4 linked regions of the Lepisosteus oculatus genome follow. The protein of the gene in region 1 purifies or fractionates together with the protein of each later gene. This does not show direct contact. Links are inferred from orthologs where the notes say so. Each region holds a gene or a part of one and is shown in the gene's direction. Other genes may lie near its edges.

The links.
Region 2: the proteins of crkl (region 1) and gab1 purify together in Homo sapiens (affinity purification with western blotting; 3 studies listed by BioGRID and IntAct, with this or other methods). This does not show direct contact. The link is inferred for Lepisosteus oculatus from reciprocal best matches to the Homo sapiens genes CRKL and GAB1.
Region 3: the proteins of crkl (region 1) and nedd9 purify together in Homo sapiens (affinity purification with western blotting; 4 studies listed by BioGRID). This does not show direct contact. The link is inferred for Lepisosteus oculatus from reciprocal best matches to the Homo sapiens genes CRKL and NEDD9.
Region 4: the proteins of crkl (region 1) and rapgef1b purify together in Homo sapiens (affinity purification with western blotting; 16 studies listed by BioGRID and IntAct, with this or other methods). This does not show direct contact. The link is inferred for Lepisosteus oculatus from reciprocal best matches to the Homo sapiens genes CRKL and RAPGEF1.

What each region holds. Positions count from the first base shown.
Region 1 is NC_090717.1:9,392,645-9,400,299, forward strand, and holds the start of crkl (crk-like protein), read left to right. Parts: upstream 1-4,648; 5' UTR 4,649-5,573; coding exon 5,574-5,884; intron 5,885-7,043; coding exon 7,044-7,506; intron 7,507-7,655. UniProt on the Homo sapiens protein: May mediate the transduction of intracellular signals.
Region 2 is NC_090696.1:27,606,184-27,613,842, reverse strand, and holds the start of gab1 (GRB2-associated-binding protein 1), read left to right. Parts: upstream 1-4,643; 5' UTR 4,644-4,658; coding exon 4,659-4,772; intron 4,773-7,659. UniProt on the Homo sapiens protein: Adapter protein that plays a role in intracellular signaling cascades triggered by activated receptor-type kinases. Plays a role in FGFR1 signaling. Probably involved in signaling by the epidermal growth factor receptor (EGFR) and the insulin receptor (INSR).
Region 3 is NC_090705.1:17,612,065-17,619,714, forward strand, and holds the start of nedd9 (enhancer of filamentation 1), read left to right. Parts: upstream 1-4,647; 5' UTR 4,648-4,796; coding exon of another isoform or gene 4,797-4,814; intron 4,815-7,650. UniProt on the Homo sapiens protein: Scaffolding protein which plays a central coordinating role for tyrosine-kinase-based signaling related to cell adhesion. As a focal adhesion protein, plays a role in embryonic fibroblast migration.
Region 4 is NC_090719.1:7,538,669-7,545,686, reverse strand, and holds the start of rapgef1b (rap guanine nucleotide exchange factor 1b), read left to right. Parts: upstream 1-4,004; 5' UTR 4,005-4,256; coding exon 4,257-4,284; intron 4,285-7,018. UniProt on the Homo sapiens protein: Guanine nucleotide-releasing protein that binds to SH3 domain of CRK and GRB2/ASH. Transduces signals from CRK to activate RAS. Involved in cell branching and adhesion mediated by BCAR1-CRK-RAPGEF1 signaling and activation of RAP1.

The sequences.
Region 1 (7,655 bases):
AATTTCTGTGTTGTGGATAATCTGACATTTCCAGTGTGTACTGTATGTGACTAATGACTCATTCTTACACGCATATCTTTAGATGAGCTGTGTACCTATAGTGTATTACAGAGGCAGATAAAGGCGGCTGCATGTTAAATGTTCACAGAAATAATAGTTAATTGCTTAAGTGTCTGAGTCATTAGTTGTTTAAACAAGATTGCTGACAACAACATGCAGCCGTCATCAGAGAATTCTTAAAATAGATTTTGTTTCACCAGGAAAGTCTGGGGATTGATTTTTAAACTGCCTGCTTCCTGTTACCAAACAGAATCTTCCCATACAGTAAAATTATGTAACCAGTTTCCTCTACCCAGCAGAATGCTTACGATGATACAATCTCAGTTTCTGGCAGCGGCAATGAACTGCACTGGTCAAATCAGATTCTGAATGCCAGAGCCAAATAGTAACTGTAAAGAGGATTATGCATTTGTGTGATAATTGGTTAGAACTGTCACAACAATGGGCTCTGCACCAAGAAGCTTTATGGGCTGTTAATGTTAGGGTTCAAGTCAAGAAGACATTCTGTACCTTTTTTCTTCCAGAATCACTTTATTCCCTGACTGCTTTACACTTATTGCTGCTTTATAGATTTTAGTGTAGCTGCAGTAGTCATTCCACTACAGAAGGGAGCGTCCCATTGTTAAGTGATATAAGAACAAATGATGCTGTCGGAGAGGTTTGACTAACTGTTGTGTATCCATGTTGTGTGCAAATGACAAATAAACTTATTTTAATATCCTTATACAATACCTGCTTATATAGTGGTTGTACCCTAGGTGATGAGGGGATCTAATCCTGTTATTTTGTATCATCTTAAAAAAACATGGTTGGGTCACTTGTGGGAGTCTGGAACAACCTTTCCTGTAGTTTCCACTTTTGTCCTCTGGCTAATGTTTCACTGTTTACTCCATGGAAGAATGACATCTGAAGATTTTCAAAACTCGAATCATGTTTCTTTGGTCAAGACGAAAAAGCACTTTTTAGCCTGCCAGAGTGGGACAGTACTTTGCCATTCATATGCTCTATCTGTATAAATTATGAATATTTTTTTATCAAAAAGGATTCTAACAAGTTATACAAAACCTGCTGCTTCCAAATCAATGTTGACTGCACTGTAGAATTAAATTTCCATTCAGATGACCCTCTGGTGTAGTTCTTATGGTTTTCATTACCTTTCATGTAGTCGGATTTAAGATTCATTGGTCTGTGATGCCTTGGTTTGATTTTGTCACTTTTTTCATGGATGAGTGCTGCATCCCATCTCTAGAGACTGCAGTGAGAGCTTTGTTAATGGACTATGAATAGCATCTCTTGTTTCCTTAAGTAGGAGTAGTAGAACACTGAAGATGTATCTTAATTGTTTCTAGTAGCTGTAACATGCCTGCATTTCTATGCTAATGCTGTTTAGTATGCGGTTTTGTCTCTTCTCATCCTGAGGTATGTTGTCTATTTCTTCCTTGGTGAAACCTGAGTGAAATATTAATTTATCAGTCATTTTGTCTTTAATTATCTAAGTGTTTCCCAATTTTATCCCTGAGACACTTCACCTTGAACTTCTCCTTTGCTATTGAAATACAGAAAAAAATGTAGGCATGAGGGAGTTCTGTCGTGCTCAGCGGGAAGAAGGAAGAAGTATTATGTTTATATGTGCGTGCTACATTTTTTAATTTTTATCTCCAGAGCCTCTCACCCACTTATCATGGATGGCATTAGCACAGATTTCCACAGGGAAACAATCTAGGTTACGGCCTACTTTTTTTTTTACAAATTCTGCCCCATGATCAGGTGAAACTCAAAACTAGTGTAATATATACTATATATAACTCCTCATACCTAACTTGCAAACTGCTAATTGTTAGGGGTAGAAAACTATTAAGGGTTTAATTAAGAATCTACAAGTCAAACTAAAAAAGAGTCCTACAGGTACTCATGTCACAAGGATCAACACGGCCAAGACCTGCATCATGAAAAAGTCTCATTTCAGTTTTGTGAAAAGGATTTAAGTGGAAAAACTGTCCCCATCCTCAATATTCTATTAAAAGTATAAAAAAAACTTTTTTTTTATTTCAGTGCTTGCAAATGATTCTTGAAACAGCAGATACACTCTATTGTATTCCCATTATTGACATTGACACATTATAATTCCACGGGAATTTAAAAATAATATATTGTTACAGAATTTTAAAGGTGTTTATTTCAGATTACAACTGTGTAATGAATCACACGTGAATTTGCAATTGTTCAATAAAGTGTTACTTATCTTTACAGGGGTGTTGGATAAACTTGGTTTAAAATAAGAGTGTAGCCACAAAAACCTCTCTTAATGATAGAAGGAGCACTGGTGATGGGTTTCTGTTTGTATAGGGATATAGCTTCTTTACAGGTCTTTAAAGCTACATATTTTAAAAATGTAAAACTTCACAGTATTTCTGCAGCTTCATTATTTTGTGTGATTCTTATAAAAGTGTTTTGTGTACTCTGATGTTTTATCATGTCATTTTACATTTAATATTTTTACTGCAAATACAAACATATATTTCAGTTTTCAAGATGTTTTATAAATGTTTTTAAATAAAATTAACTTATGTGATTAAAATCAGTTGTGTAGTTCAGTGCATTTCCACTATAGTGAATGAAAGCATGTATTTCAAATACTGTACATTTTGGAAAGAAAATCTGAGTTAATATAAGTAGGTACTTTAATATCTAAAAACCATATTAAAGTCTGAAGCAGATCAATACTCTGGCTTGACAAAAAGTGATGATCTGAAGACACTAATGTGAGAAGATTAGTACTGTATAAATTCACCCTCTTTTATTATATAAAGAGGCAGGCTTATTCTTTTCACCCTGGAGCATTAAAAGATTAAAATACATACAGAATCAATCCACGTTGTCATTTTAGAGCAAACACAGCCCTTCTGTTTATAGCTTGTCATGTTGCAACATCCTCTTTTATAATCGATGTTCATCTAAATTAAAAATATATCTTTCTTACTCAAACATTATGCTTTTAGAAAGATTGAAATGTAAGCTAATTTGTGTATTAATGCAAAAAGCATCTTTATATGTTACGCATGCAATGCGTGGCATATTATTGCTAAAGTACACTCTTCCAAAATTGTAAGTAATATTAAATTTCCATTTTTGCACATCGATAATTTGCACTCGTCCTCTCTCTCAGGGAGTTATGTGAGAAATTGGCACGCGTCCGCCAATACGAACCAGTGGGTGCAAAACCATTTATATTCGTCCAGACTGGGTCTCTGTGAAAAGCTAGGCCGCGTTCCAGTGGCTTTTTATGCAACCCGGACACTCAAAGCCTGTTTTTCCAGCCTCGTAGGAAAAGTGAATTCTTCCAACCCCTTCTTTGAATTCCCAGCACAGATGAGGAAATGGGGATCTCTGGCTTTAGGCCACAGTGTTATGCTGGAGCTCTCTCAACAAACAACTGACATTCTCTGTCAATCCCCTTCATCAGCGACGCACTTAGGAGGGGTTTCGGTATGTCTCCTGCATCCCAATGCCGAGGCACTCATTTCTGAACACAATTACACTGCAACTGTGGAGACCTGTGCTCTGGATAACCGTCCTGCCAATGTCTCCAAGGCAGGGAACAAAATCTCCACAAAAGCCATCTTCACAGAGTTCTTCACAAGAAATGAAATGTCTTACACGATTCAAATCTAATGTTTATAGAGCTCCAAACTGTGTGAGATGTTGGTAGTGGATGTTTTGCTTTTAAAAATACCTTTAGGATGTGGCAGATTTCTGCGGTCTGGCTGGCAGGTTTAAACAGGGAGTGGAAACCTCAAAGTCTGTCCCTATATGTATATGCTAAAGGAAAAAAATAATTATTTGCATTTGCATGTGTGTAGTGTGCTGGTCATTTCTGCTTGTATTTTCACAACCCCCAAAATATGAACGGTAAAGGCATTAAAGTGGACGTTTTTTTTCATGCTGTCGCTGTAAATGTACTGATGTACTGTATAAACTGCCGCCATAAAGCTGTCTTTGGCGTTAGCACTTATTTGAACAATTTTTAAGAGATGGTTATCACCAACGTGCATGCTCAATGGTGCGATTGCACAATGCCCGCAGATGAGCGCCAGGGGGTCGAGCAGTTCCCCGGAGGGGTGAGAAACCTACTACAGGCCAGCGGTGCAGCGTCGTACAGAACCGTTGCCTGCGCATTTCATAAATTCTGTCAAATCTAAGCGAGACGATGTGCGTTTACGTCTCAAGATACCGACATTGCGCCTTTTAATGTTCTGATTAAACGTAGGTGCCCCCTTACAAGACACGTCGTGGCCCGATTTAAGTGGTTTGGCTTGGCTGACTTTGGTCTACAAACTGCGAGACGATTTTTTTGGGGGGGTTGTTTTTATTTATTTTTTTCCGGCGAGGATGGTGCCTTTTTATAATGTCTGCTTTTGAAAGGACCCCGCTGTAGACCTAAAAAGCAGCAACAACAACAAACAAACACGGGAAAAAAAAAACAACAACCCGCGACCGATCACGACGGCTCCGCACGGGCGCTCGAGCCTGCCCCCCCTCTCTCCGCTTCCTCTTTGGTGCGCGAGGAGGCAGAAGCCGCGTCACCTGCGCGCGGGGTAGAGCTGGGAGCGCGCGGACCCGCCCTCCCCGCCGCCATTTCTGAGTCGGGCTGTGTGAGGCAGGCAGGCGGATTCCTGTATCAACAGGGTGAAGTGGGGGAGCCGCGAAAACGTACCTGAGTAAGGGCCTACCCGCGTTCGTCCGTTTTGTGTGGGGTTTTTTTTTTGTTTTAAAAAAAAATCCGAAAGCGTCGAGATCCGCTGCCGAGTGGGGGGGGGGATTGGTGACACCCGAGAGGCTGGAGACGGGCTGTTCTGCAGCACAATTCATTTTGCTTTTCGGGAGACGTGCGCGAAGGCCGCCATTTTCGTCAGCCTGCTTTTGGAAACTCTGTACCGGAGTCGAGAGAGAGAGAGACAGAGAGAGACCCCCCAGCCTTGTTGTTCCCCCACCCTCCCTCCGTCTCGGGAGCTGATTATTGCCGGCAAATCTGCGGGGTTGAGCCGGGGCCGTAGTCGTAACGCCGTTGAGCAAGATGGGGGACAGTTCGGTACAATAATATTTCCCGTTAGTTCAACGGACTGGCAGCGGCGGCTGAAGAACATTGTTTCGGCAGATGGTTGAGCGCTTCTTAAAGAGCTGCCAGAAAGCGGGCGCTCCTTCCTGCTGCTTGGGCCCTTTTCTAGGTCGTTGACATAGCGGGCGGTGGAAAAAGGCGGCATTATAATGTGTCCAAGTCGGCCTCGTAGCTAGAGCTCTCTTGTGAAACGTCAGGGAGGAAATCGGCGTTGCCGGTCGGGGCTGCCATCGTTTTAAAACTTCGTGCCGCGATCGGGGTGGGTGAAAACTCGCCCTTGAGCTCTCAACGAAACTAGGCGTTTCCAACCCACCCCCCCAAAAAAAAAAAACCGGACGTTTTTTATTGATTTTTTTTGTTCTTAATCATTTGGATCCCGTCTCGAGTCCGCCCCGCCATGTCCAACGCGCGGTTCGACCCCTCGGACCGGTCCAGTTGGTATTTCGGGCCGGTGTCGCGGCAGGAGGCGCAGAACAGACTGCAGGGGCAGAGGCACGGCATGTTCCTGGTGCGGGACTCCTCGACGTGCCCGGGGGACTACGTGCTGTCGGTGTCCGAGAACTCCAAGGTGTCCCACTACATCATCAACTCGCTGCCCAACAAGAAGTTCAAGATCGGCGACCAGGAGTTCGAGCACCTGCCGGCCCTGCTGGAGTTTTACAAAATCCATTACCTGGACACCACGACGCTGATCGAGCCGGCTCCGAGGTGGGTGCCATCGGGTTGGGGTCTGCGGCTGCAGCGAGGAGGAGGAGGAGGAGGGTGAACGCATTTGTGTGCGGGCTGTGAACTTCGATTTCCTGTTTTTCTTTTTATTATCTGTTGAGGGGGTTTAGTGTTGGTTTTTGTGTGTGTCTGTGTGTAAACCTAGTGCTTTGCCTGGAAGCCTTTCTGGTCAGTTCTTCCCCTTACTTGCTCTCGGGTGCTCAACTTCCGTTTTATTTTGAATCGAGAGGCGAGAAGGAACTATCGCCCTTTCAGGCTCGCTTGCTGGACGGGCTCGTTAATGTGGTCTTTGATCTTCTACCCCCCCCCCCCCCCCCCGCCAGAAATAAAAGAAATAAGATTGCATTGTTTGGGGGATATGCTGAAGATGGACCAAGAATAAAACTACTGTTCGCTCACTAGAATAGTGTGATATTGGGTTGAACGCGAGCTCTCAAATTTAGTGAGAAGTGCTTGGTTTGCTTGAGGGGGTTTAGGTTTTGTCGGAAACATTGGGGGAACTTTTAGCTTGTATATCTGTAAATAAGGAAAGGATACCAGGAAATCGGCGAAGCTGGTGTTGTGACAGCAACTAGTATTACATGTTGCAGACAGAAACCCCATGAGATATATTACTTTGTGGGCTCCTCTTGTTTCTCTTACCTGTTACTCTGTAGTTCGAAGTCAGTCTTATTTCAAATAACCTGTTAGAGGCAGTGCAGAACATTATGAAGAGTCCTTAGGTGACATGACCAGTTGGGGTTTCATTTTCAAATTGTCTGCTCAATTTGAAAATGAGCACTTTGGGGCTTTATTTTGAGACTTTTAACTTTGTTTTCTTAGCTTTTATGCACTTTAGCAATTAAACAAGCATAGATCTGTTTTAAGAAATAATAAATGATTGGTCAAGACCAGGTGGAAATTGTGCCAGAACACCAGGGTTAACACCCCTGCTCTTCAAGGAATGCCCTGGGGTTTTTAATCCCCTTGGTTTGTATTAAACAAAGCCGCAGGAATTATTTCTAGAGCAGTTTTCTACCATTTTGTAAAATCTTTGTTCCGATGGTACCATTGAAGAGACGAAACTGTTAATTGAGTTGCTTTGTGTTCCCGACGGTTGTTTTTGGGTTGAAGTGGGTCATGTGTGCGTTGCTCTTTTCAGATACCCAAATCCGTCTGTTGGGACCAGTCCCGCGCCCGTGGGACAGCCCGAGGAGAATCTGGAGTATGTTCGGACTCTGTATGACTTCACCGGGAGCGATGCCGAGGACTTGCCCTTCAAGAAGGGGGAGATCTTGGTTATCTTGGAGAAACCCGAGGAGCAGTGGTGGAGCGCCAGGAACAAGGAGGGACGAGTGGGCATGATCCCTGTGCCTTACGTAGAGAAGCTGGTTAGACCATCGCCACATCAGCACCAGTTCCATGGCAACAGGAATTCAAACAGCTATGGCATCCCTGAGCCTGCCCACGCCTACGCCCAGCCTCAGACACCCTCCCCTCTCCCCCCTACCACCCCAGGCGCAGTCATCAACCCCTTGCCCTCCACACAGAATGGACCTGTAATGGCTAAAGCCATCCAGAAACGTGTGCCTTGTGCTTATGACAAGACTGCCCTGGCACTAGAGGTAGGATCTGCATTTCTCTGTTCTTAATGATGTACCCCGTTCTTAATGAACTTATTTTCACCCATAACAATTTGACATTGCTCTTGCTGCTAATTGCACCACTTTTCATGAATCTTTGCCTTTTCTGCTTTGTTTTGATGTATAACATC
Region 2 (7,659 bases), on another chromosome or scaffold:
GACGACTTGGAATAAATTGGCATTTTTCCTTGGTCATAGAAAGGTGGCACTTGAAAGGTGATGTATCAGTTGAAGATATTTGCATAACGTCTTGTGAATCTCTGGCATTAGCAATTAAGCTTGTGAGCAGGTGAAAGAGTAAATCTTAAGTCTACTGAGCTAAGTCTGTATCTGGGCAAAAGTGATTAGAAAATGGCTGAGTCCTACTGATAAGATTTAATACGATTAATGAGTCTGAGATTTTTTGGCTCAGAAGCATATTCAAAAAGCAAGGTTTTTCTTTATGGGTTAATAGTTGGATGTTTGTTTACAGTATTTAAGTAATGTGACAAGTCAGTATATGAAATGGACATACTTGAATCCAGTTATTGAGAGTGTCTCTTCCTCTCATCGGTGAACTGCTCATTGAAATGATAACATTTTGGGGGGTAAAAAACCAAGAAGCATCATTATTAGTAAGGTTTCATGATTTTAAGAGGTGTGAAGATGAGACTTGGCTTCACAGCACAACTGCAGTGAGTGTAACTTCATGGCTGAATTAGGGCTTAAGGGGTAAAATCTGTAATTGGTATTGAATGGGTCACAGTGTACATTATCGGTCAATTTAACTTTTCTTTCACTGTTTAGTATCCTAGATGGCAGGAAAGTGAGTGGCTACCAAAACAGGGCAGAGAAGAAAACTGTGCATATACTGGTAAAATTTTAATTTGAGTCTCAAAGTATGTAGAGGTAATGTGAGGACAGCACTATGGATGTGTCAGTGTTGTTGGCAAGTTTGGGTTGGTAATTACAGGTCTGTCTGACTCTTAAACTGTAAATCATTTGCTTAATGCAGTGTATAAAGAAAATATAAATAACAAGCCAGGAAACTCAGTTTATCTCCTGCTTCAGCAGAATATTTTAGAAATTCAGAGAATGTTTTTATCTGCTGTGGACATTTCCAAGTATTCTGGATTTTCTTGCTTTTTATAGCTTCTAATGAGCAATAAAACAAAAAACTTGAATGTGTCTTACTTTAGGTATTAAAGCAGGTATAATAGTTCTATTGCTTTTTGGACCCTTCTGTTGTATATTGTGAATGCTTATAACAATAAGAACCCTTTTCATCTTTTTTGGGGGGGGTTCTTTATTTTGTATTGGAAATCACAAACGGGTGAAATTTTTCAAACCCTGCTTTGTGTCGTGATGATGATGATGGAAATCCGATCTGCTTTCTGTTCAGTGTTGTAACCTCCCCAGCACCTCTTTCTGGGGCTGTGAGCACTGATATATCAGAGTGAACGGATTAGCCTCTTTAATATGGATACTTTAGCCCGTCAGGGGAGCCAGGATAATGATCCAGTAGTGTGGTTGAGCCTCTTTGTCAAACCGCAGGCTTATAGAGTAATAACATTTCATCTGCAGCAGGAGAAGCCCCAATATTTAGTGTTCAGCTAAAAGCTCTGCTGTTTCCTTTTAGTCCACCACTGTGGGAATGGAGGAGGACTATGAAAGTAGCAAATACAAAAGCTAAGCATAGTATTGTGCATTACAGGTGTTAAGACCATTTTCTGAGATCCAGCTCCTTTTTTTGAAAGTGTGCTCTGACTCCTCAGTGAAGTGAATGCAGGTGAGATGGTTTGTAAAAAAGGGAAAGTGTTGTTCCTCTAGATCAGATGATCTCCATGATCAGGCAGAGTAGATCCTTAGATCATGTGGAGCTTCAGAGACATGCTTGGCACTTTGTTCTCAAATGCAAAACATTCAGTTGTTATTCTTATAATTATTGTCGTTGAATGGTGGCATTTGAATTGCTTAAGATTTTGTGTTTAAGCATTTACAATAAGCAATAAGAAAAGGAAAGGCTGTTCTCCAAGGTTAGAACTGGATGTGTTGCTGCACACAAATGAGTGCTCTCCAGCCTAGTGGAAGGCCCTTAAACTCACAGCGTGCTCTTTCAGAAACAAAACAGGATGTCACAAGCAGCGTGTCAGAGGGCCTGCACATGTTTCTAAATGGGTCCAGCTATTTTTAATGTGGTGTGGCAACAACTTTCCAGCCCACATGGCTGCAGAGAGCTATAAAATGAAGTCATGGTTCTGGAGCTGCAGCTATTTGACTTGTAAGAATTAATGTGGTGTCCCTGGACAGAAACACACCTGACTGCAGCTGGTGGACTCTGAAAGTAGGCCCGTCTCTTAGAAAATAAAAGACACCTGAAACCTGTTTCTCAAAATGTAGGGTTACACAGATTGTAACTGAAAAATATCAAGACTTGCAGTAGCTTATGCATACATGCACTGTCAACTAGAGAAAGAAAGTACCGTGACAGAATCATCTTGGCAAGCAGCAATATCAACTATACAATTAAATAAGCCAAGAGTGAATTTGTCTCCAAGCTGTCTTAACTGCAGGTCAGGACAGGTCTATCTGGTTATTTTATGAGCTAAAAATACAATTTAAAAGCAATACAGTATGACTTTCCATTGTCTGGATCTACTGCTAAGTGTTTGATTCTATTAAACAAATTCACAACAAAGTAAAGCTGCCTCCATCAGGGAAGCAACTGTTGTGTCACAGAAGAGTGTGTTCTTGTGTTACGCCCTGTCAGGCTTGTAGTCATTAAAACGCAGTATTTAATTGTGAGCAGTTGCAGTCGGTGTCAGCACCTGTGGTCCTTTTGCGATAGGTTCCATTTTAAGCAGTGCTGGCACAGAAGTTGGTGACTGGAGCTTGCTTATACAGAGTATAATTACTCTGTACATTTAGAAGCTTGAAAGTATTCTGAGGACCTACTGAGAGCTCTAACATTTACTTCCAGCTCTCAAGCGTGTTCTGGTTTTAACCCTTTATGGTGTAGAAGGTTTGTGAACTCTGAATCTGGGCTTCGGGCCTGCTGGAAGTGCAAAGTCATGTAAAGACGGGACTGTAGAATCGAGGTGAGCACTGAACAGGGTTTATCTCCCCAAGAGCCAGATGTGAATCATACGCCACTAAAAACACTCTGCAAGGTTTTCCTCTACATGGATGAACAAACTGCATTTTTTCGTTTCTCGGCACACACGTGGTTTGTTTTCATTGAATTCTTGGGTTATTGTTTGTGACTGAATCATTATTGTATGAATGCATTTCACTTGTTGTACTAGATTATGTGTATATATATATGTGTATCCCTGAATTTTATGCATCCAATCAACCAATTAACACGCGTTTTATAATTAACAGTTTATTTTGACAATCTAAATAACATTCTGAATATTCATCATGGTACGTTTGATGTGCAGAGAAAATTGAGAACATTTTGCATATTGCAGGAAACATTCCTGCAATATGCAAGCGATTCTTTATTTCTGTCTAAAATCAGTTTTAAGACATAAAGGGTTAACTGGGCAAAGAAAAAAAATATGTATAGTCAATGTGCTAGTTCTTTTTCCATTAAATTTTAATTTCCAAATTAAAAGCCTGGGGTGCCTTCAGCCCCAGACTTGATATTGTGAAGGTTAGGTTTGGTAGTCGGCAGTAAATTACTGTCCCTTGTGAAGTGCTGTTTGTGGGCTCCAACCTGACAGGTACGTGTAGCTCAATTTAGCCTTGCAGTTAATTGCTTGGCATGAGAGTCATTTCTGTGCCAGCCTGCAGAGACGTGCAAGCTGTTCGGGGAAACTCTGCCAGCCTGGCAGCCAACCCCAGCAGCCAGATGGAGCTTCAGTTTAAGGCTAAATTCAGCCAGAGACCCTGAAACTCTGGGGCTCCACAATCTTGCTCCAGGAGCATCTTTCGTCTTCAAGGGGTTTTCTCAGCATCCTGAGTCAGGGTTGCTGTGAGCTGATATTGGAAAATGGAGCTGAGCTGAGCCTCCTCTTCCAGTTCCTGGCTTCTGTGAAAACAGGAACAGCCTGAACCCTGTTAAGATGCTGAGATCATCTTAGATCACTTGTCTTGTGATGCATCTGAGACTGTCAGATGTATGAAATTGTTTTTTATATTTATCCCAATAAACTTTGATTTTATCACAGCATTGTTCTGAGGCTTTGCTACATAATGCGTGAATTACAATTAAATGATACAGCACCATGCAGAGGGGTAGTAGACTTATTGCACATATCACAAGTGACGTTGGGAGTCTTTAAGTAGTGTATTCTTCTGCTTGTGCCTCTCTCCCTAAAAACAACTGCAGAACCCATGAGGGGATTATGACTCTGATGTGCACCTGAGTTTAATTTCATTTAGATGCGCCAGCTGAAAGCTTAAACATGAGAATCCAGATTTTTGGCAGAGAAAGTTAAAACTAGCCAGTCATGTGGCCAGAATCATTCAAAGAGTTTGGTCCATGCAGTGGAGTTAGAGGGCCTTAGTTACAAGTCTTTAAACCCTGTTGTTGTTGTCGGGGCTGCCACAGAAGCATCGGGGTCCTCTCCTCATGTCCAGACATGGGTGTCACAGGCACAAGGCTCAAGGCACAAGGCCCTGCAGGGGTGGGGATGCACTGGTCATTACTGCCTCGTTGGGCTTTTTGCTTTCAGTGCTGGAGATATTTTAGTATCCCAGCAGTGCGATCCATATTTGTGTGCCTGCTCTTTGTTGAAGCGTGATGGAGGGGACAGTTTCTGTTATTTTCAGTCCATTGTGCCTACTTCCTGTGGGTCAGGGGTTACTGGAGCAGGGTGTTGTAGACGGCGATGGAAAGCCGACAGGAAAGTAGCCAGACCGTACAGCGCACAGCAAGCTCCGGAGCCAGACGCAGGCTCCAGCGCGCGTTATCGATCCTCCCTGCAAGCAAACGGCAAAACAAGGTAAAAAAAACTGCCGCACTCTGCATTTTCCCAATTCCTGGGCTGTTTGGCAGGGTTTTCCTTTCCTCCTCTCACTCCTTCACTTCGCCAGTGTTTGAAATTGTTTTCTGGAGTTGTAGAATTTCCTGAAGGGACCTGAGTTTCTCTCGTGGAGAAGCAAAGCACTGTTTAGCACTGTTTTTGCTCAAAAGCTGTTCAGCGTGTTGAAAGTGTACGTTTACACCATGCGGTGATATTTCTGTGACTTGAAAGGTTTTTGGTGTAGCAATGAGCCACAGTGAGGCAGGAAATCTATCGAGAATGTGCCGATCTGCTGTCCTGCAATCTGAACATTCCCTGCAAGCAGCCATTATAGAAACACTGTAGAGAAGAGGCCTCTGGTGTAATGCCCAGTTAATTTCTATGAGACTATACATTTAAATTTATTTGTCGATCATTTCTATATTTTTGTTAAGTGATTTGTCTTGTGAAACTGCTTTTTTATATATATGGTATTTTTTGTCTTTAATTTTTTGTTCTGGAAGATTACTGTGTACAGCTGTTAACTAGTGGGGTTTGAGCAAGGCTACTACTAACTGACATGCGCAGCCAGCCCTTTTCTCTCATAATGCTGATGAAATGTATATAGTATATGGTAGAGTGCAGTAGAGCTTCAGTATAAATGAGCATCTGTATAAAATTAAAAGAATCCAGCAAAACGGACTTGCTGGAAAGATTTTCAAGATGTCATCTATAATTCCTGCAACAGTACTCCAGTAAAACACTGCGAAGGTGTAGAGGTAAAAACATAGAACGCAAAGTATTTTTTGATATTCTTTGAAATACAGCTATTAAAATGTTAACATGCTTTGTATTAATAAATAAAACAGTGCAATGATGTACTGTAAAGGTGATGAATTACGCAATACATGTGATATTTAAAGAACCCAAACCTTTGCACAATGCTTTACAAATTATGTGTAAAACATGTTTGTGGGTGAATGTCTTAATACATTCAGTATATACACGCACTGTATATTATACTTCTTTTTGATGTATAAAAATTGCAAAAAGTAATGTAATAAATAATAATTTTAGTGATCGGAATTATTAAGATGATGCTTCTGGATGCGAGACCTTTTTTCTTTCCATACAGACAGTGTAGCTGGAAAATAACTGGTTTATTATGTTGTGGAGGTGGGCTTGACCAGTTCATCTTTACACTTGTTCCATAGAATCTGCTGAGTGCGTTCTAGCAGCTGACAGCCCCCTTAATAAACAGAATCATCATGCCTAGGGCCAAGGTGGTGTATAAGTTGTCTTAGAGAAGCAAGGCTAGACTGGGATGACTACCGAGCAATTCATAAGAACATTTCTTTTTTCCATTTTTAAAGTGCGACAAGACGTATTTAGCAAAGAAGAAGATGAATTTCCAGCTGTTGTGCAACATGTAATAATTTAATAGTCAGGTAGTTGTAACAGTAGTAGTAGTCAGCTCAAAGTACTTGGCTTCTTTGAAGAAATAGCTGTGTAAGCCTGGATCAGTTAGCACCACAAAATCAAGTGACCTAGATGGGCTGAAGGGCCTCCTCTTGTTTGTAAATGTTCTTATGTGTCATGACTGCAGGAACGAGTCTGTCTGATACTCGATAAAGGCTGTGTCCCGACACCAGCTGGAAAATGATTGAAAGGTGGAATGAAATGGCTACAGCAGTTAAAATAGGTCCAGTCCAGCTATATTACAAGCCATTAGAAACGGTAATCCTAGGTAAACTGGGTCTGCACACCCTTCGGTTTGCTTGCAATATATCGCTGCCTTCTTATCAGCTGTGACCAGGGAGTACAGGTCTCCATTTAAAATCTGCTGTAAGGCTGTTGCTATGCTCTCTCTCCATTAGCAATGTTGGACTGCATTTAGAGGCCTTTTTGAAATTGTCCTGTTCTGAAAAACACAACCTCTGTGTTTACGGTGCTGCAGCCAAAAGTTCTGTGCTGAAGTGTCGTTTGTTTTCTCATGCAGGACTGAGTTTTGCTTTGTCAGGGTTTCTTCCTCTTGTATTTGTAAAAGGGAGAGACCTTTACCATCTACTGTTCAGTAACAAAAGTGGGTTAACATTTTCAAACGGGTTACAGAGATCTATATTTGTATTTGGCTCTAAGAGACCTCTCTCGTAAAAGCAAAGACCTTGAAAGTGTTTAATAACCTGCATAGCCTGTGGAGCAGTCCACAGGTTTTGATTTGAGCTGGTTTGACATCAAAAGTCATCAGATATTTTATGTCCTCCTAGGGCTCTCTCTGCAGCAGAGCTTGTAAGAAGTTATTTGCCGTTTCTTTCTTGTTTGGTTAAGGGTCAGGTTTCAGATCTAAAGTTAGAAATGACAGCCTTCAGAACCAACTGATGTGACAATGGATGGAAAACAGGAAATTTTGTGCCTAGTGTGTGTGTTAGGAACACAGATGACCAGGATGATAAAATCCCGAGAAGTGGAAACTTCCACTGAGTTTGTTTTTTCCTTGTTTTTTTTTTTTTGCTGGGATTTAAAAAAAGACACTGTTTCCTGGAAAACAGAATCTGTGGCCATTTGCTGCGTGTTAGGAGCCCCACTACAGGCAACACTTGTGGCAGTGCTAGGTAACGGAGAAAGTCTGTCAGTCACTGAGGTGCTAGTTCATGCCCACAGCTGAAGGCAAGCTAGGTCTTTGAGTTAATCTTTCAACCCTCATGGTTAATACTTCATCCTTTGTGCGAGTCTACCTCAAGAAGGATTGATGAGAATTAAAGTTAACATGACTTAACGTTTGACTGCTGCTAAAAAAATAACCAAAAAGGTTTTCCTATATTAGAGCCTGAGATTCCCATGGGTCAGTCATTCAGGACTATTGATCTCTAAATGCCAATAAATGATG
Region 3 (7,650 bases), on another chromosome or scaffold:
AATTACTGGTAAAGTACATGGGAGTGACAGGATGAGTATAACTGGTAAGCAGGTCCCAAGGGCTTGAGTGGGAAATTAAGTGGAGCTGAAATAGTTGTTTGCTCAGATTGTTCAAAGGCTGCATTCTACAGTGAGGTGTAAATTTCACAGAACGTTTTCAGTTACATGTCTAAGCTCAGATTTCGAAGGAGTGGGAAGATGTCCAGTTCGAAGCTACTGTACACAGACACACATTTTTTAAACCGTCAGCTAACGTCTGTCAATCCTAAATTGTTGTTTTTTGTATTGCACAGCTATGCACAAAGTTAGTAAACATAAAATATTAATTTAAAAACAAATGTTACCAGTATTTCCTTACATTCTTAGACACTCGTGCAGTCAGTTTTTTTTAGTTGGTTTAACATATAAGATTATTTAGCCATTTCATTCCATATCCAAATGCTAAAATGCATAAAAACAAGGCATTTATTAAAAATGGCATTCATGCTACTTTAAAAAATGGTTTTGTCCATATCTTCATTTATACAGACTGAAATCTAAATCTGGAAATTCATACTCATTAAAGTACACAATCACAGCATCACTTCCGTATTGTGTTTAGGATTTGAGAATGAAGAGTCATTTCTTGAGGAACTTTGTGGATAGGATTTGACCTCTTGCGATTTCCACTGCTGAAAACTAAATGTTTGCCACGCTAGATGGATTCCATTGTTAAAAAGGGCTGAACTGGGATCACAACTTCCAGTTTTTCGGATCTGGTGTAAATCCACAACAACGAGCTTGGTTTTGTTGCTTAATAATAGTTCCTTTAAGAAAACATCTACATTAGAATTTATTATTTGGGTTATTCAATCCATACATTTGACCATGTTAGAATATACTGTACCCTATGCTTATCTCAGAGATTTGAGTGATTTTAAGTACTTGGAAACTTTAAATAAATTTCATATTATAAACATTTTTTAATTTAGTTGCGTATCCCTTTCCGGAAATAAATGCATGAAGTCCATTGCACTCACCAAACTCGTTATGCAACCTTTTGGGATGCTTTGCTGCAGTCAAGAGTTGCGTACTCTTTGAGTGTTCCAATTTTAACTTGTGCATGTAATATGTATCCACTTTTGGATTGAAATCTGGCAATTGACGTGACAGTCTAAAGCTTTCGATGTTTTTTCCTGATGAAAACCTTTATAATACTAAAGAAGTATTATACTCTTAGTTTGTAGTAGTTCAGGTGGGTAGCTGCATCAGCATGCGTAGGCTGCAAAGGAACAAGTACTGTAATACAGTAGGTTTATTCCATGCTGAAAAAAAGAAGAAAGAGAACACAACGTTTCGGCCGTGGAGCCTTTTTCAGGTGTGAGGCTTCAGGTGTGAGGCTTTATAATACTTCTTTAGTATTATAAAGGTTTTCATCAGGGAAAAACATCGAAAACTTTAGACTGTCACGTCAATTGCCAGATTTCAATCCAAAAGTGGATACATATTACAGTACATGCACAAGTTAAAATTGGAACACTCTTAGTTTGCATGTCTTTATACACGTATTGGCATGAAGAATTTTTCTACTAGGATTTTCACATTTAGATATGCTGTGAAAGCCATGGAAATCAAAATGTAAATGTTAACATAGTTCTGAGCATTATTGTTAAATGTTTTAGCATTGTGATGGTTTGTAAAGGTTAAAGTCTGGCTAACAATTTGACTAAACTCAGTAAATGGTATTTTTCATGCAGTAATACTTTAAACTGTTAATTACAGTGACAGCAAATAGTGCAGGTATTAACAGCTTTCACCTGAGCCTTGGATGAATGGTCTTAACGTTGATGCAGCTGTGATCAATTTCAACTGATAAATCCTTTTTTACTAGGATACCATGTCTTGCATCTGACTTTTTGTTTTCATATGTATTAAGAAGATATTCAGCACCATTTAGACAACTGAACTTTTCATGGCCTTGGGTTGTATGAATAGTAATTAGACCATACATCATTAAACAGTAAAAAAAAACATTTTGAGTGAAACAATTTTGTATCAGGAGCTGCTTTTACAGGGAACAGAAGGCTTTCAAGCATACCTGTCACAAAATGAAATTGATATCTTTGTTTTCTTTTTTTCTCTGTCTCTGTTCTCGGCAATGACAGTGGCTTTGAAAGTTGAGGTAGCTTGTATTGTGTGTAAGTAACCATTATGTTTTGATCTGACTCATGAAGTACACTCAACTCTTTTGAAATCTATGTCAGACTATGTCAGACTTGGTTCACTCTATGGGAAACTGTGTCACTTAAAAGGACACAGGACAGGGGGTGCAGCATTTTTAAAATTCCCTAAAATAACTCCCACCGTGAGTCAAAAACATTAAATTAACTGAAATTCATTTTGAAAAGGTCATTCATTCAAAGCTTTCATTATCATTATGTATTTAAGAGTCCACAGAACCAATTGGGAGAAGAGATCTACCAGACAACCACATAGTTATCATTCTACCAGAAAGTTTTGAAGTTTTTATAGAATTCTGTAAACATCATAAATGTTAGTTGAGAAAGTGAAAGTCCTGCTGTGTGTCTGATGAAAGTTTTCAGAACAAAACCTTTTCTTGTATAGTTTTGTTAAATGTAATTGCCAAATGAGCACACCCATGATGAGTAAACACATATTAATACAATGCTTATTAAATTCATCAATTATCTGACTCAATTTGAAACCTGAACCTATCCTTTCATCTTGTCATACTGACACCTTGGGAAACTGCAGCTCTAATGTGGAACTGTGGGGAAATGACCTCCAGCACATTGAGAAAGTATTGAGAAGAATGTCTCTTTTCACAGCTGGGAATTGAAGAAAGCATTGAAATAAGACTGAGGTACTGTATTGTTATCAAACTGTATGAGTTGATGAATGTGACTCAGTACATCTAGCTACGTACCATCACTTGCTGTTACTGACAACTCAGTTGGGATATACAATACGGGCAGTTTACCAGGTTGCCACAAGACCTAGCCTATAGTTTCCTGTTCCATCATTAGTTTCCTAATTAGCTCCTTTCTGAAGCTCAGCCTGTAATTGCATGGTATCCTGCATCGTAATCCCACCTATTCATCTGTAGGTGCTCTATAGTGTTTCTCAGGCTGGGTAACACAGCTGTGTAGAGTACAATGAGGAACAAATGCTCCACCACACCACCGCCGCAGAAAAGCCTTGAATAAACATACAGAATAATAAGCACCTGGTTAAGTGCACATTGTAAGCTTTGTGAGCCAACAGGAAAGTCCTTGGCTGTCGACAAAAGCACCATTTGTTAACCAGAAAGCCACGCAAGTCTGAAGTACCCATTGTATTCTACAACACGTACTGTAGGTTGGGTTCCTGGTATTTTAACATTCATTGTCTGTAAAAGGCTCTACCCATGGCAAATTACAAGGAGATTCAGAAACCCCAGTCTCTATTCTCTTCCCTCTCAACAAAGTGATGTCTTTACTTCAAAATCCTAAAAACATTTCCCCCACAAAATAATTCAATTTTCAAACTTTGCTCTTTAAAGCTTATGCCTAAACAATAAGCACTCACTATTGGGTACAGAAGTGTTAAAAATAAGCATAAAAATGGAATTAACAAGAAGTCAGTTGATAATTGTCTTCTAAAGCAAACAGTCACATGTATTTTGTGTTTTCTGTCTTGCTGAACATCTTTTCATTGTTCTTCTGTGCAGTGTACTGTATACAGCCTTTAACCTGTCACAGACAGAAAACTGAACTTAAATCGTAGTGTTAAAGCCATCTAAGATAATAAAGGAACCAGATGAATATGTCATATGCCAGCATATGTCTAACCCAGTCTTATTTTGTAAACAAATTGATATTCACATCTTTTTTAAATTGGTATCTGCTGGTAATAAACAAATATAACCAAAGTAAAAGCCACTGTATAACCCAGGCTTGTCAAATTGTCCTTGTAGCTAAAATAAATCATCCTTACACTTATATAGTGCTTTTCTGGACACTCCACTCAAAGTTCTTTACAGCAAAAGGGAACTCCCCTCCATAACCACCAATGTGCAGCACCCAATGGGATGATGTAACAGCAGCCAAAGTGCGTCAGTACGCTCACTATAATGAAGTAATGAAGCCAATTTAAATATGAGAATTAAGAGGTCATGACTGGTAAATCTGGCCAGAAAACCAGGGTTACACCCCAAGTCCTAGCCCTGGCTATTTGTGTATGATATATATGTGCATCATGGCAAAATTAATAGTTTGATACATCATCTCCTAACAGTTTGAAATGATCACATTGATATGTTTGGATATTTTCTGGTTATATTTTTTTAAGTGAGCCCCATATCACATGTCTTCAACTCAATATTGCTAATACGTGTACATGTGAATGCATTAAATGCTTATAGCCTGGCCGTCTTTTTCCTACTTTTTAACCTCATTTCTGTAGGTTTGTTACTCAGCATAAATAGGAGACATGTTCTAACAAAAAACAGGAAAAAATATCTAGAGCTTCAACAACAAACACCCCTCTTGCCAGAATGTTCAGAAAGTGTCTGTTATCAGATTATTTCCTGTTTTGCGGTCTTTCTGGGTGAGCAGTTTGCTTTCTTTTTGTAGTGACAGTTAAGGAGTAGCAGAAATGGACACAACATTGAACTACTTGTTCCAACTCTTTGCTGGTCTCTGCTAGCTCACAGGTATACAGCAACTAGTCAGAACTGCAAAGGCCACATGAAATATCTTTAATGGTTAATTGGGATCTGTGGAGAAAAACAATCTTCAAGGATGTGAGGGTATGGAATGCTAAAAGAGAAGGAAGTAAGTGCTTGTTAATGCTTGTTAATGCTTGTTAATGAGGATTCATTTGTCACAAGTACAAAAGAATAAATATAAAGCCAGCCAGTCTGTTCTGTATTGCTGTCCCACAGAACCAAACAGGACCGCTCTAGTATCAAATGAACTTGTCAAGGACTCTCAGTAGATCAACAGGGCATTTGATTATGCTATAAACATGAAGAACCATTAGGGATTTGCTATTATTGGGTAAACTGTAAGCAGGTAAAATCACATTTCTTTAACATAGCAGCATTCCCTGTCTGGAGAAACCCACTTGAGAGTCAGTCTAACATTTAGATGTTAGAATTCATACTGTAGGCGTGTGCAATGGTTTCATATTTACATTTTCACACTGAGTCTTACAGGCCTATGCTTCCTGACAATTCAGATTTTAAAAAGAGCAAACAATATTCATGGCATGGCTAAAGCAAGCTTTATCATGATTAAAAAAAAACTTTGTTTAATAATGTTTTCCTATTCTTTCCAGGATAGAAACTTTAAAAACCTCCTACTAAGTATGCAGTTCTTTAAATGTAACCCCAGTTACCTTAATGTGTGTTTCTCTTTTAGACAAAATCACATCTTAAAAAGCTGAGTAGGCATTGCATACAGCAAACTACAGTACAAAATATCTTACTACACATGGACCGCTACACACTGGAACATTCGTTCAGAACACATACAATTTCATCTCCATGGCCTTGGGGATCCATCACAAATTATAAATGCTACATGAAGGGTTTATAGAATATAGGTGAGGACTTTGTGTTTTGGTCTTAAGTTAATTTGCAGACACTTTTGTTATACGTGTACTGTACAGTATGTCCTCAACAGTTCACTCAGAAAAAATAGGGATTTCTTTTATTTCACAGGAAAAAAACTCTAACCTGAAGACAAACTGGAGATCCAGGAAAAATAAATGAGAGGAATAGGAAGATATAGATCTGACATTGTTAAAAAAGAGTGTGATAAACATAATAGTCACAACAACATACCTTTCTGTAGCCTTTTGGTGGATAATGCAAACAATTACTGAAATATTTCTTTCAAATCACAGTACAATGCCAGCTATTTCCAGCAAAGAGAAAGCCGAGACTCAGCAGACATTCTTGAAAGAAGCTCTGCCAAATGAAACAGATTCACAAAAGTAGCCTTTAAAACTTAATTATTGCATAGTCCATATGTTAAGAGGAAATATACAGAAGCCTTTGACAAGACATGTCTTAACACATTTTATTCGATTTGTCTGATCACTGAGGGGATTATGGAGAAATACAAAAGAAGTACAATAAGAACAGAACTTTAAGGCATGTAGGAAAGTATCAAATTGATATTAATCCTAAGGAGCCAATGATGAATCAATGAACTTTGATTGTGACATTCTGGATGAGCTTCTACAGCACTTTATACTGCCTACACGTGTATAAGTTACCATGAGTTGCTATGATTATGTTTCTGGACAATGAGAGTTCGAAATTGTTAAATGAGAAGCTTTGTTTCTTCTCACCTAAACTGTAAACGGTGTATTCCTAAGACTCAAAGTTGTTCTAATAGTAGAAAATATGACTGGGTGCGTTGATGAATTTTTGATTGTGTTTACACACTACCTTTGCACAGTGCTCTATACTGTACATTTACATAATAGTGTGTTTGCGGCAGTGTATACTGAAAAGGCAGAAATTAATTCCAGAGGTAATAAAAACTGTAGGTGAGAGGTAAAAGGAAAAGAAAAAATATTTACTGGGCATGGGTATTAGATTTCATTGTCCTTATTCACTGCTGGAAAGAACAGCCAGCAGTCTGAAGGGGGCCTCTGAGGCAATATTGTCTCACTAGATAAAGCTTTCCTCTAGGGGACAGGGATCACTGCGAGAGAAGCTGAAGACACTGCAGGATAAAACAGAAACAAAGAAATGGTTTATTAGTCAGTGGTTAAGCCCAATTAAACAATGTCATCTGACCCTTTTAAAACAAGCAGTGCAAGACTTGATGCACTTTTTAACAGCATTACATGTGCCAAGATAACCAGAAGAGGTTTTCTTTGGGACGAAAAGAAGGATGAGTTCAATACGATAGGTGCTTTGAAAATGAACCTCCCTTTAATCAAATTGCATTTGTCAACTTTGGCGTATTCTGGCAGGGTTCCATGACTGCAATACATGGAAGAAATCTAAGTGCTGGACTGTGTTGTGCACCATGACACTTTTCCCACCCAAAAATAAGTTGTAAGGTAGACAGCATTGCTAAAATGAAAATAAATATTTTTCAAACATGCAAAATATTGGGGCAGTTTTAGATACAGTAGGAATGAGTGCTATAAACATAAATACTCAAATACACAAGGCTATCAAAATGTACAATAATGACCTACTATGACAAATCTGGATTTAAACATCTTTTTTGAAAATCTGGTGATCCCGTCACTGCTAGGGTGCCTGATAATCGCTTGATCTACTGATAAGCACACAGATAGTAACACAAATAGAGAATGGTGCTTGCAGGAGCAATAGATTTACATAAAAGACAGTCAAGCAGTCAAGGATTTGCATATATTTAAACATGTTTTACATGTGATATTAAATAAAACCTTGCATTTGAACTTTGCATGTGCCAAAATCTTGTTTTTCTTTACACTTGGAATTGCCATTTATTATTTTAATTTCTATACTTGTCTCCTCCACGATAAAATCAGTTAGACAGGAGGAGTGATGCAGCTGTGTTTGGTCACTGTTGTACAGCAAATCAAGAAAAACCTACAGTATATACTGTAGTTGAAGCCTAGCCAGTGAAACTTGGGCCTCTAGAGTGCCATGTGTGG
Region 4 (7,018 bases), on another chromosome or scaffold:
GAGCACTATGGCTGCCGTCACATCATCCAGGTGGATGCTGCACATTGGTGGTGGTGGAGGGGAGTCCCTATTACCTGTAAAGTGCTTTGAGTGGAGTGTTCAGAAAAGCGCTATATAAGTGTAAGCAATTATTATCATTATCCCCTCCACTCAAGGTGTACCCTAATTCCATGAAGGAGAATCATCTGGTTTCAGTTCTACCACTAGATGTCAGTGCATCATAGTATAATGGCTTGTAGTCTTGCACTTTTTGTGTTGTGGTTGCTATTATTATTATTCCGTGTTAAAAATGCCCATGACATAGCCCTACATGTTACAACTGCCTTTTATGGATGTGTCACATATACATGACTAATATTATTATTATTATTATTATTATTATTATTATTATTATTATTATTATTATTACAACAACCAGAATCCATGCCAGTAAAATATCAAACATCTTTTGTTTAATTTAATTGATATTCGTAAAATGGACGTTTTTGGTAGCCATAATAAATGTAGCAAGTTTAATACCGGGGAAAAATTAAATGAAGTCTTATATGTTTGAAAAAGTTCCTTTGGTGTACCTTGTGGGCCCTTGCAGATTCCTTTGTCTGCATTTGTGACCCGACAGGTTAACACACATGTCAAATTTTATCGGAGGAGTTTCTCTCTTGTTCCCTCTCTGTGTACTTTTAAAGATGGCCTTAGGCCACACATTCTGTAAGGCTAAAAAACCTGTTCGGTTGTGAACAGTGCTTCCTCTTTTGTTCAGATAGAGCAAAGCGTGTGTCGGCGTGGGTGGGGCTCTGCCTTGAAGGAACTGAAGTGTGTATTTACCTTTGATTGTATTTATTCAAAAACACAGCTGACAATGAGGAAAGCGGGACTGGAATTTTATGTTAAACAGTGCCGTATAGAAGACGAACAGCAACCGTCAAAAAGAAGCCCAAACTTACATCATGGACTCCACATGCGTCCTTCATGACGCTGTTTTGAAATAGACTGTTCATGTAAAAAACATCACGCACAGTACTGCTTTTCCCTCAGGTACAGTACTGCATTGCCTCTAAACAAGGGGCGGTTCAGAGCTTGTGTGCATCAAAACAGACACTGCTGAGTACTCACAGTAAATGTTAAGTTAAATATGAGGCCCTTACCTACTTGTTTCCATGTTCCAATTACAATACTATTACCTTTATTTCAGTTTTAGCACTGTTACACCTCCAACTGTATTTATCCACCTCATAGATAAAGCATGTAAAGAATTGTGCGGGTGTCATGTCATATATAATGTCTTGTCATGGATACTGCTAATGGGAAGTTTGTCATTTCAAGGAAGTTTCTGAATTTTTAAGTCATTTCATTTATCAGGAAATTAAATTGTTTTTCTTTTTTCTGATAAAAACAATGAAATCCAACTATCTATGCAGTTACCAGGCTGATTTGTGAAGAAGCAGTGTATGACTTACGGGTAAAGATACAAATTCAAGAGGCAGCAAAGCGAAAATCAATAAAATGTCTGAAGTGGGATTATGACAGTGTATTGTTTTTAGAGGACAGTGTTATATGTATTACATCAACTTGGCAGAACAGAACCTTTAGAAAACACATTAAAAAACATTCTTGTAGAATTATTAAATGGAAATGTACTGGGTCAAACAACTTATTGTAAAGCATGTGAGAGACTAAAATGAAGAGAATAAATCATGTTGCATTATGAGTTACTCAGAATTTTTTTATTACCGTTACTTCAATGCCAGATTTAAAATAATGCAGCTGGTTGATAGGTACCGCTACACTTTGTAGATTCTTATTGAATTGTGCAACTGAGCCACTGAACAACACCCATATTCTGTGGAAGTTCTTACATAATTGTATATAACCACAGGCATCATTTTAGATAAGGAGTACAATAAGGAGTACAATACCAGTGTCAATAAAGTTGGCTATGGTTAATCTAAATACAGGAAAGGGTGCATTTAACTTTTAATTTCTGTGCTTTCCACTGCTGTCTGCTTATGTACCAATCATAAATAGAATTGCAGATATACATGTACAAAAACCGCTTTAAAATACGTTTCTACAACAGCGGAGCTATCACTCGCTGGGCTGAATGAGTTTTAATTTAAATCAGAGAGTGTTGTTGACATATGGTTGAACGAGAGATTTCTAGTTTAGTTGGTAGCTGTTCCATTAAAAAGGCCTTCCTATGATCCCATGACTTAATATTGTTCATTCAGGGGGCAGTAGGCTCTAAGCCAGTGTGTGCTATATTGTTCTAACTATCCAGATTCGGTTGTCACTATGTATTAGTTTCTCTCTGTCTCAGGTCACACAATTGGCTCACTCATTCCTACTCTAGTCTGTGCAATGTGATCATCTCATAAGGTCAGTTTTATGATGCATTCAGGCAGCCTTCTTTATCTAGCTGTAACTAATGTCTGAAAAAGAGGTTCACGCCCAATAATTTAAATAGGAAACAAGCTATTCACAAAGCTAGCCTGATTAATTTTATTTTTTAATTGAAGTGCTCACTGTGTCAATTTAACTGAAAATTCTGTCTTAATTGAAAAATGTTATCTAATGCAGGAGGTTGTTTGAAAGCTGTCACTGCAGTTGACCCTCACCAAGGTAAGCAAAATGAAAATGGATGGATGTGAGGCGCTTATTGTATTTTCACATTGCAGAAGACACAATCACATTGTCTATGTCTAGAGGTCAAATTCAATATTGTGCCTGCTGTTTTAACTTGCATTTTCACAGCACTATGCCACGTGTAGTTCTGTGTGGTGGAATATAAATTAGTGCTCATGTGCTCATGTCCTGGGATCAGTTGTGGACTGGGGCACCTTCTGTGTGACATTTGCACATTTTTCTTGTGTTCACATGGGTTGACATGGTTTTCTCTGGGTGGGCTGGTTTCTTCTAAAAAAAACAAGGGTTTCCTAGCTAGATTAATAGGTTTCTGTGCATCCTTTGCTGGACAGGCATCCTGTCCAACATGTAGCCTCGCCTTTAACCCTGTGCTTTCGAAATAGGTGCTGGATTGCTGTGCCCAGCTTTCTGATAGTGGATGGGGTGAAAGGAGTGTAAACTGATACTGCAGGAATGTGACAGTACTCTCAAACCATAATAAACTATTTCTAAAGCTGTTTTTTAAATGGATATTTCTATAAATGGAGCATTCCAGAAGGATTCATTCATTTATAGACCTACATCTATCCAGTTGCTATCGCTTTCATCCAATTCAGGGTCACGGGAAATTGGAGCCTGTTCTGGCAAGCTGTAGGCACAAGGCAGGATACATCCTGGATGGGACACCAGTCCATTGTAAGGCACACACAGACACCCGGGGCCAATTTTCCCAGAAGCCAATTAATCTACAAGTATGTCTTTGGGCAGGGGGATGAAACTGGAGCATGAGGAGGAAACCCAGACGGACACAAAGAAAAACATACACACTCCACTAATGTAACATCCCTGGCAAGACTACCCACTGCACAACTGTGTCACCCTGTGGGCCAACATAGAAAAACATAATGTTATTTGAATACAACAACAAAAAAGTGGTAGGCTTTGGAGTTGTTGGTCCAAGCTGGTTGAACTCTTTGATACAGGGACCATGGGTTTGAGCTCAGGTTACTGAGTTTGTGGAGCCAAAATATGAAAAGAAGCAGCTGGCTATTCAAATTTTAATTCACTATTCAAATAAAAAGGCATTGAGACAGCTTTTGTTTATGGACATTTTCATATTTTGCATTTTCCCCTAAATGATTCCTATCTTATGGGATGAGTGGAAAAACCAAGTTTGTCTCTACTGACAGAGCTGTAAGAAACACAAACTTATACGTAATTTAAAATTAAGGCGATCCATTCATTTATTCTCTTATTTAAAACCTGTGAATACACAGGAAAAATATGGCCCCAGGGTACCAAAAACTTGATTTGAGCAGCCCAACTAAAATGTGAAGGAGCTTAATGCACGTTTCATTCCAACCTTGAGAGGGCAGAAGAGCTTCTATCCTCCACACAACGGAGTACTACTACTGCTAGGCAGGACTGTGCTGGCCTCATTGAGCACTGGAGGCTTGTGAGAGATTAAGGATTTTGAATAACTGATCTGTGTGTGGAGAAAGCTGTCCTGAATATACCAAAACCGCCACATCCACTTGATTTATCTAAGGATGCGGGAGTAAGGAGAACCGAAAAAGGGGGAAGCAGCCGATCGTGGGATTTTCTTCTCCGCCGAGTCTGACACTATCTTTGAAATGTCGGGGAAAATAGAAAGCAAGCAAGGTAAGGGAAAGCACGCTTTCGCGGATATGTGGCTGTGATAGTCGGTAAGGGGGTGATAGGACAGTCCGAGGAGTTGTCCTGGGAGCGTAGGCCCCAAGTGTATAAGACTTTTTATTTAACATTCCCGCTAATGATCGGAATGTAGATTGCTGGGGTGGTGTTGCATTCTTCTCAGGATAGCCGCTGCTCTGAATGAAATATTCAGATATAGCGATTATTTCGTTTTGCTGCCGTTTTATACTTTCATTCCCCATTCTGCGAAGGGACTTAGCATATCTGGATAGAACTGTTGCTCTAGCTGTCTGGCATATACTGTAGGTATAGCCGATAGATTACTTCCTAAATGCGATTTTTGTAATATTTTGCTTTGCTGTAATAAAAAAATCTGCAGAAGATCTGCTGCTTTCGCTAGAGGTTGCCAAAACTAACGTTCATCTTTAATCAATGCAAACAATATATGGATTATTATTTGGTACTGCAGTGTGTGCAGCGTCTGTATTCATTTTTACACAGACGGGTGAGCGTGCAACTGAACTAATTAACCGCTCTTAAGATCTGGTATCTTGCTAAGGGATGTGCCATGGTTGTATATATACTGCCAAGGTGATCTGCGCCTGGTGCATACATGTTAACTTGGCGAGCAATGAAAACAACTTTTTTAATTACAAATGTTAGATATACTTAGATTTATTTTTTACGCAACGAAATATACTATTTTATTGGCTGTGTAGCACAACAGGACTGATGCAGTTTTGGGGGTCTCCAATATACTTTTAACGATGCCATAAACCCCATAACCAGTTGTTTTAAACGAGTGAGACTTGTATTTTACCACACACGTTAAGCATATGCTTAAGTACAGGACTCTGTTACGGTAGCTTCTGTTACGGTTCACCGTGGCATTTCTTTTAAATAAAGACCCCGGTCTCTGATGCAGAAGCTCTCATTTAAGATAATTTAAGATGGCTTTTGTGTTTTATTTCCCAGGTATTTATTTCCCATGTAATACAATAACTTGTGTCTGCCTAAATTTGACTGAAAATTGAAAGAAAACCTTCGACTACGATTATTTTTCCTTTGCTGAGCAAGCAAGCATCAGTGTGATTTATGAATGAACATGCATACCAAAAACAATTCCTCCGTTTTCTGATGAAGAAAGTGCTGTTCTGTTAGTTTACTTGATGTGACGCCTGGGATATTTCATTGTCAGTTCATTTCATTATATATTAGTATAGGCTACCTGATTATTGTGGTTAGGATGACAGCACACTTGGAGAAGTAAACATTGCTGGTATATAGTTCTGCTGTCGCTTTCGACACTCAGCAATAACAAGTCAAAGCAAGTTGATTATTTTCTAGGCCCTTTTGTTATTGATATTGAAACTGAAATCTTTATACAGGAATTAGTATGAGTCAAAATGTGATGCTGCCTCTTGCTCAGTGAGTTAGCCAGGTGTCAACCTTGCCTGCAGCAAATTTATTGTTTCTTTGTATCAAAATAAATCTGTATGAAAACCAGGACGCCGTTAAATTGCACATTAAAATTGCCTGCCACTTGTCTCACTTGACAAAAGGTGTAGAATGGTGGTGTTCTGGAGTTATAGTCAATATATTCTAGCTTGCAGCGAGAGAGGCTGTAGTCGGTGAGTCAATATATCAGGCCTTGAAAGAGGAAGGCCTGAGACACAGCACAGCAAGCAGAAGGTATTGCTGCTGTTGAATAGGAAATCCGAACCCCTCAGACTTGCTCGGGATGGTCTTAAGTATCTGCCAGCCACAGGCACACAGTGGTTTCTCAGCTGTTTCTGCTGTCCTCTGCCCCTGGAGCCTCTGGGTGTGGTGTGTTGCTTGCCCTTGAATTAACTCACCCAGTTGGACTGATTTCTGGCTGTTGAACAGCGCCGGCTAGGCAGAGGTGAGATTAGTCTTTGCTGATGGTTGAAAGGAGCTGCCTCAGGCTCCTGCTGCATACAGATGAGTGCCCTGCTGTGCTGCATGTGCTGCAGGTTAAAGTTTGGGTGGCAGGGTAGCTGGAGCAATCAACAGGCCTTGACAGGCTGCCAGTGCATTGCAGGGCACACACAGACACAGACGTGCTTACTCTCACACCAGGGCCATTTTTTTCCCACAGGGCAATTGACCTAACCAGTATGCCTTTGGCCTCTGGGAGGAAGCCCATGTGATCATGGGGAGGACATACAGACTCCATGCAGATAACACCCCAGGTCTAGAATTGACCTCACGGCCCCAGTGCTGCAAGGCAGCAATGCCAGCACTGTGCTATCGTGTGGCCGCTCGTTTCGGTTCTGTTTCCCTAATGAAAAATGCATTAAACCAATTTTGCTGTGAAGCATAATTCAAGTAAAGAGATATTTAACCTGTCCCTGGCTTCTTTTATTTCAGTTGATGTCTCAGTTCTTCCAGTAAGTCAGAACTTGAAATTCAGAATTGAGAAAACTTTTCTTCTTTCAGTTTTTTTTTTCTCTCCAGCTGGTAGTGTAACTGTATGACATGTTGGTGACACTTGATGTTTCTGTTCTGTGAATTGCACAGTATTTTCGCCTCAATGCTAGCTAATGTCAGAAAACGCTTGGTCTGATATACCTGCACAGTTATGTCTGTTTTTAATATGTGAAGAGGGTAATTTTTAAGAAGCCCCCTAGCATGTAGCCCTAGGTTATTCCCTTCAGTCAGTTTAAACAGATTTTTATCATGCACCTAATAGTGAAGAGGT